Macaca mulatta: one gene and its partner. The protein of the gene in region 2 purifies or fractionates together with the protein of the main gene of each other region. This does not show direct contact. Links are inferred from orthologs where the notes say so. Each region holds a gene or a part of one and is shown on either strand. Other genes may lie near its edges. The genes, in order: DSG2 and JUP.

Region 1 (3,822 bases), on a different chromosome or scaffold from region 2:
GGCATTGTCACTTACTGACTGTGTTGGACACGCACTTAATCCCTTTGACCTTTGGGTTCTTTATGTATAAGATGAGGATAATAAGTGAATCTGCCTCACAGGGTTTCTATGTGGATTAAATGGGTTAATCCATAAAAAGGCTTAGAACAGTACCTGGCAGAAGGTAAATGCCCAGTAAGTTAACAGCCATTATTATTGGTTAAACTTTCTGTCCTTTAGAAACAGCAGCTTGTTAAAAATCACACTACCAATGCAAAGTAACACGTTTCCATTCTAATTTTATGTGAAAAGGTATAGAGTAGAATTTTAGATGAATCATATTCTTTAATTTTACAAACATCCCCTTAAGCCTATTGGGCGCAATCCTTCCAATTTGGGCAGAATTAAATCATTTTTCTAAGAAATACTGAACGTAATGCATTTGGATGATGATTTATATCTGATGACAAAGAGTGTATCTTTAGGATCAATGACACTTTACTCTTGTACCCTGTTAAAACCTTTATGTATACATCATTTAAAAAATCTTCGATCTCCCCTTTTTATTTAAAAATTTCCCTTTGAGTTAAACAAAGTGAAATCTTTGAGAGAAACGCCTTCCTAGTAAACCTACTCAAATTTTCCTTCAATTTGGGATTTAGAGTAATTCTCTCCTTTACAGATACTTTATCCTCTAACTAGGATTCCTGTTTTCATCCCTTTCCTCACCGTCTCCTATGTACTAGCAGTGTAGGAGCCTCCTAATGTTTCGTTAGAGAACTGCAAACTGAGAAATGTTTTAGGAATCTCTAGTAAACAAAACCCTGATAGGAGAGGCCCTAGAAGGGTGCTGTCTTTATGTAATTTTAAATCTTCTAGTAGTCACATTTTAAAAAGAAACATGTGATAACAATTTTAAACAAGTATATTTTATGTAATCCATGATATCTAAAATATTATTTTAACATGCAATGATCACGAAAAACATTAACGTCATATTCTGCATTTTTCATATTAAGTTTTTCAAATCTGGTGCCTATATTACACATTCAACACGCATACAGCACATTACAATTTGGGTCAGTCACATTTTAAGTGCTCAATAGTCACATGGCCCATATTGAACAGCCCATCCCTAAAAGAGAGTAATTCCAAGAGTTATCCTATGGATAAGGAATACAGAACAAAATAAGAAAAAGAGAGGAGAAACTGGAAAGGATACAGAGTTTAAAGATGGGCAACATAACATATTAATTTACCTCTCTGTCCAAGGTAACACTGGTTGTATAAATCTCTCCTGTATCTTTATTTAGGTAGAACACTGGAGGATAAGCAGGCTCCAGAGATACGATCCTATAGGAAATTTTAGAATTCAGGGTATTGGGCTCATCTGCATCTGTTGCATTGATTTTCATCACAAGTGTATCTGGCATTGGAAATAAAGATGTCTAAGATGAAACGCAACTTTAAACACACTTACCTGTTATTTTATTTATAATTTTAGCTTGTTCCAAAAAAGATTTCAGGTGCTTATCAAAATCACATGCAGTTGACCACAATATAACATTTAACTGGATGAGGACGTAAGCGTGAATGGAATACAACAGCAGGAAAAACAAGATGAAGGCAAGGCTGAGGGTGGAGTCCTGAAAAATTGCTATATAAGGTGACAGATTTCTTTATAATAGTATTAGTAGCCAATACAAAGAAAGTAACATGAACAGGTACACGATCCTGATATTTATTAAGATACAAACAAATCAGGAGAAGCGTAACTATTCTTTATATCATGGTCCAAAAGAAATCTCTCATTCGAGTCCTCATGAAGAGCACTGTGTTGAACAATGTTGTGAATAAACCTTACAGTAAAAATAATACAAGTTATAGGTCAGCAAACTATAGCCAAAGCTGTAGGGCCAAAGCTAACCAGCCGCCTGTTTTTGTAAATAAAGTTTTATTGGAACACAGCTAGGCTCATTTGTTTACATATTGTCTATGGTGCTTTCCTGCAGAGAGCAGAGTTGAGTAGTTGCTACAGACACCTTATCTGTCACATTAATCTACCCTATCTGTTCTGAGGGTAAAAGCAATGGCATGTAAAGTCCTTTAAACCTATAAGGAAAGCAATTCTCAACCTAGAGTGAAAGGTTTCTTATTTGTTCTGTAGGTAATACTCAACTTTCACTAAGATATGAAATTTAGTGTTTATTTACAGCAGGGATAAAATAATCTTAGTATTTATTTAAAAAAAAAAAAAAAAGACTCTTACGTGCTGCACTCAACTCTTCAACAGACCCAACAAAGACATCCTGTGTGAACACTGGTTCATTGTCATTGATATCGAGAACCTTAATGCGTAGCTCTAAGGGTTTCTCTACATTGTTTCCTCTTTCATCCAAAGCGTAACCTGTTAGCTGAAATCATGACATAAATAATAAATAAGATTAGATTTAAGCTAAGAAAACTAAATTACCATACTATGAAAAAAAAAAAAAAAACAAATGATACTTATTATGAAAGGAAAACTACAAACTAATAAATGTAAAATTATTCTTCTTACCAGAAAAAATGGTGTTTCTTCTCGATCAAGAATGCTGGTAATATTCAGTTCTCCAGTGTCTTTATTAAAGACAAATATACCAAAAGGTGGCTCTGTAATCCCTTTTCCAGTGTATTTGTAAGTAACTTTGAGTCCTCTTTCTTCTGTAAGATCAGAATGTATCTAACATAAAAATAACAGGAATGTTTCAGGTTGAACTCTCTGTAATTTACTAGATTTGATCTTAGCCAAAAGCCTGAGAAGAGATTCTCTGTAATTTATAGGTATATATTTGTATGGACAATTTCCTTCTGAAGTTCTTTGGTAATACAGGCCAGAGATGACAAGACTTGGACTAGGGGAATGACAGTGGAGTTGAAGAGAAGCAGCAGATTTGGAATATATTTTTGGAATAGAACTGATAGTGTGTGGTACATTTTTGGCTTGAAAAACGGGAGAGAATTATAGCATCAATTACCAAAATGGGTAGAACTTACGAAGAAAAGCTTTGGGGGGAGAAAAATGAAGGGTTTATGTTTGTGCATGCCAACTTTGAAATACAGAGTAGCAACACTATCACATAATTTATCAAAAAAACTCGACCCCTTGAGAGTGAAAACACAGATATTAATTATTAAGCCAGGACAACAGGCATGAACCATGACTGTCTCAGGCAAATGAAGATGGTCACCTTACCTAGTAATAGACACCAGGTCATCTTGAAAATGACATTTTATGACATCTTCTTTTGAGCACTGAACACTCTGTGTTACCAGTGCCAAATCCCTTTACTCTTAGTTAAATCAAAGCTCAGAGTTATCTATATTTTTGCCAATGATGCTGCATCTTCCGGAATAGGAAAGAGAATCTTAAAGTTGATACTTTATGCTAAAAAGTAAGCTCTGCTAATTTTCAGATATCTCTTGAATATTTAAAAATTCTGTAAGCACATTCTAAATTTTCCTTAAATCTTAAAGTAGACATAAAAGTCCTCTCATACCACATTTTAGTCATATGCATATATTTCATGTTCCTCTTTAGGAGATACCTTGGCAATTGGATTCTTTTTGGACAGATCCTCTCCCTCCCGAAGAGCCACGGGGGCGGTGATCCAGGCGCGCTTTTGCCGCACTAAATGAGGATGTTTAGGAAGCAGCTTATTTTCATTTCTTGTGCTTGAGACCTACAACAATAGAATATTGTGAAAATTTATTATGTGTCATAAATATAGAACATTAGTATGGTGTCTTATAACATATTAAACTGTTAAATAGTGCAAATTTTAAGGTATGCTTTGTATTTCC
Region 2 (3,822 bases):
AGATAGAGTCTCACTGTGTCACCCAGGCTGGAGAGCAGTGGCACGATCTCAGCTCACTGCAACCTTCGCCTCCTGGGTTCAAGCAATTCTCATGCCTCAGCCTCCCAAGTGGCTGGGATTACAGGCATGTGCCACCACGCCCGGCTAATTTCTGTGTTTTTGGTGGGGATGGGGTTTCACTATGTTGGCCAGGCTGGTTTCAAACTCCTGACCTCAGGCAATTCACCTACCTCGGCCTCCCAAAGTGCTGGGATTACAGGCGTGAGCCACCACACCCAGCCCACCCCAATAGTTTCATGACTGTTATGTAAGCCAAAATTTTGAAAAAAAGGATAATACCTAGTGCTGACAAGGATGTGACAAAACTATATGCACATCCATTACCAGTTATGGCACTGGAAATTAGTCCAATCCTTCTGGAAATCAGTCTGGCCATTTGGGTAAAAGCCTAGAACTGTTAAAAATCAATGAGAATTTTTTCCACTCTTTGACAAAGGCTATATGCCCAAAGACATTCGTTAATTCGTTAGACAGCATTGTTTATAAAGGTGGAATAGGAGCAATCTAAATACCCTCCCTCAGAATAAAGCCTAAGGTCTCCACTTAATGAAATGCTATCTGTAGGCTAGGTATGGTGGCTCATGACTTTAATCCCACTATTTCGGAGGCTGAGGCAGGAGGATTCCTTGAGGGTAGCCTGGGCAACAGAGCAAGACCCCATCCCCATAAAAAATTTAAAACTTAGCCCAGGTGCTAATTAGCTCATTGGTACGTTTCTGTAGTCCTAGTTATCAGGAAGGCTAAGGTGGGAGGAATGCTTGAGCTCAGGATTTTGAGGTTGCAGTGAGCTAGGATCATGCCACTGTACTCTAGCCTGGGTAACACAGTGAGACCCTATCTCAAAAAAGAAAGAAAAGGAAGAAATGGGAAGGAAGGAAGAAAGAGAGGAAGAGAGGAAAAGGGAAAGGAAAAGGAAAAAGAAAGGGGAAAGGGGAAAGGAAAGGCAATCTGTCATTATTAGAGGGTGGTTTTGAGGACAACAGAGCAAAAACAATTTTTTTTAAACATCATGCAGGCCAGACACAGTGGCTCATACCTGTAATCCTGACACTTTGGGAGGCCAAGGCAGACAGATCACTTGAACCTAGGAGTTTGAGACCAGCCTGGGCAACATGGAGAAATCTCACCTCTACAAAAAATTAGTCGGGGGCCCGGTGCAGTGGCTCACGCCTGTAATCCCAGCACTTTGGGAGGCCAAGGCAGATGGATCACCTAAGGTCAGGAGTTTGAGACCAGCCTGGCCAACCTGGTGAAACCTTGTCTCTACTAAAAATACAAAAATTAGCTGAGCATAGTGGTGGGCACCTGTAATCCCAGCTACTTGGGAGGCTGAGGCAGGAGAATCACTTGAACCCGGGAGGCGGAAGTTGCAGTCAGCTGAGATTGCGCCACCGCACTCCAGCCTAGGCGACAGAGTGAGACTCCATCTCAAAAAAAAAAAAAAAAAAAAAGAAGAGTAAAAAAGAACTAGTCGGGCATGGTGGCACATGCCTGAAGTCCCAGCTACTCTGGAGGCCGAGGTGGGAGGATCATCTGAGCCCAGGAAGTCAAGGTTGCAGTGAGCCCTGATTACACCACTGCACTCCAGCCTGGGTGACCCTGTCTCAAAAAAAAAAAAAAAAAAAAGCAGGCAGAAAACAGATGCAATGTTGCAGATTGTTATGACAAGAATGTGCACACATCTGTAGTCTGCCCACAGAACAGCTCTTAACGGAGCATATCGAAATGACAATAGTGGCTGTATGAGGATGAGTGATTTTTTTTCCTTATGCTCAAAATAATAATTCTGACCAATTCAGTCGCATGATGAAGCATGCACATCTGCCCCTATATCTCATCTAAAAGGAGTAAGGGGCAGCAGCCCGAAGCTGTGGAGGATAGAGGGTGACGCAAGGGTGGGCTTCAGGCCTCAGGAGGGTTGGGGAGGGCCCACCTTGCTCTCCTGGTTGCCGTAGGCCAGGAGCTGCAGGCAGTCGGTGGTGATGGCCAGGAACTTGGGATTGTTCTTGTTGAGCAGGGGCACCATCTTTTGCAGCCCGTCAGCCAGGCGCACGGCCATCTTGGCGCCCTCCTGGTACAGGAGCAGGTTATGCAGCGTGGTGATGGCGTAGAACAGGACCGACTCCACAGGGGAGCTGGGGGGGTGGGCAGGGGTTAGTATGCCGAGGTCCCAGGGGCCTGGCATACATGTGAGCCTGGTATGGGTTCCCACCTCCCCCAGGAAGCCTCCCCACTACTGACACCCCTCTGGAAATATCCCTTTGCTAAAATCTCATCACTCCTTGAGCCTGCCCGGCTCTTAAGCATGAAGCAAACAGCACCTGTCTTCTCCCAACTGAGACAATGACTCCTCCTGCTTCTGAGCCCCCAGCCCTGTGCTGAGCACACAGCAGGTCCCTAGACACTGATCCCTACTAAGTAACTACCATGTGGAAGGCCACATATTAGAGAGGCCTTGCAAGGTGTTCAGAGGGGAATGAAATCAGTGTCTCCCCTTCATGGAGCTCCCAGCCTGGTATAGGGATGAGAAATGAGGCCAGGCGCGGTGGCTCACGTCTGTAATCTCAGCACTTTGGGAGGCCGAGGCGGGGGATCACCTGAGGTTAGGAGTTCGAGACCAGCCTGGCCAACGTGGCGAAACTCCGTCTCTATTAAAAATACAAAATTGAGCTCGACATGGTGGCAGACGCCTATAATCCCAGCACTTTGGGAGGCCAAGGCGGGCAGATCACCTGAGGTCAGGAGTTCAAGACTAGCCTGGCCAACATGGTGAAACCCCATCTTTACTAAAAATACAAAAATTAGCCAGGCGTGGTGGTGGGCACCTGTAATCCCTGCTACTTGGGAGGCTAAGGCAGGAGAATCGCTTGAACCCGGGAGGCGGAGGTTGCAGTGAGCTGAGACTGCGCCACTGCACTCCAGCCTGGGCAACAAGAGGAAAACTCTGTCTCAAAAAAAAAAAAAAAAATTAGCTGGGCATGGTGGCAGACACTTGTAATCCCAGCTACTCAGGAGACTGAGGCAGAAGGAATATTCAAACCTGGGAGGTGGAAGCTGCAGTGAGCTGAGATCATGCCACTGCAGTCCAGCTTGGGCGACAGCAAGACCTCATCTCAAAAAAAACGAGAAATGAGACCAATCAACATTTTGTAGGGGGCCCAGAAACAGAAAGTTTGTAAGGAACTTTGCATTTGCTGTTCCCTCTGCCTGGGACACTCTTCGGTTCCTCCACACTAGCCAAACTCCACTCATCTGTTAATCCCCTGCCATTAAGCGATTCCACCTCTGAGCAACCTCAATGCTCTTCTGCCACAGCCTGTGTCATATCCTGATCATTAACCTGCTGTTTACATGCCTGTGTTCCCTGCTGGGCTGTGAGCCACTGAGCACCAGGATGGGGTGTGCCTCTGCCTGGCACATGATAGTTGCTCGCTGGGTATTTATGGAAGCCCAGGGAAGGGAGGGGAGAGGCCCAAGTGAGGCGGGGTCCTGGACTCCTGCACTGAGCAGGGGTGGGTACCTGAGCATGCGGACCAGAGCAGGGATGCCGCCCGACTTGAAGATGGCGAGCAGCCCCTCCCGGTGGTGGGAGAGGTTGTGCAGGATGCTGGTGGTACAGCGGGCCGTGTCCAGGTCACTGGTATTCTGCATGGTGCGCACGACAGCGGCCACCAGCTGGGGTGAGCCCATCAGGGCCCGCCGCGACGCCTCCTTCTTTGATAGCTGGTTCACAATCATGGCCGCCTTAGTCACCACCACCTG

Evidence for each region.
Region 1: the proteins of JUP (region 2) and DSG2 purify together in Homo sapiens (affinity purification with western blotting; 3 studies listed by BioGRID and IntAct, with this or other methods). This does not show direct contact. The link is inferred for Macaca mulatta from reciprocal best matches to the Homo sapiens genes JUP and DSG2.

Annotation. Positions count from the first base shown.
Region 1 is NC_133423.1:60,985,159-60,988,980, forward strand, and holds part of DSG2 (desmoglein-2), read right to left. Parts: intron 3,702-3,822; coding exon 3,567-3,701; intron 2,702-3,566; coding exon 2,540-2,701; intron 2,394-2,539; coding exon 2,249-2,393; intron 1,406-2,248; coding exon 1,239-1,405; intron 1-1,238.
Region 2 is NC_133421.1:66,096,036-66,099,857, forward strand, and holds part of JUP (junction plakoglobin), read right to left. Parts: intron 3,820-3,822; coding exon 3,581-3,819; intron 2,196-3,580; coding exon 1,994-2,195; intron 1-1,993. UniProt on the Homo sapiens protein: Common junctional plaque protein. The membrane-associated plaques are architectural elements in an important strategic position to influence the arrangement and function of both the cytoskeleton and the cells within the tissue.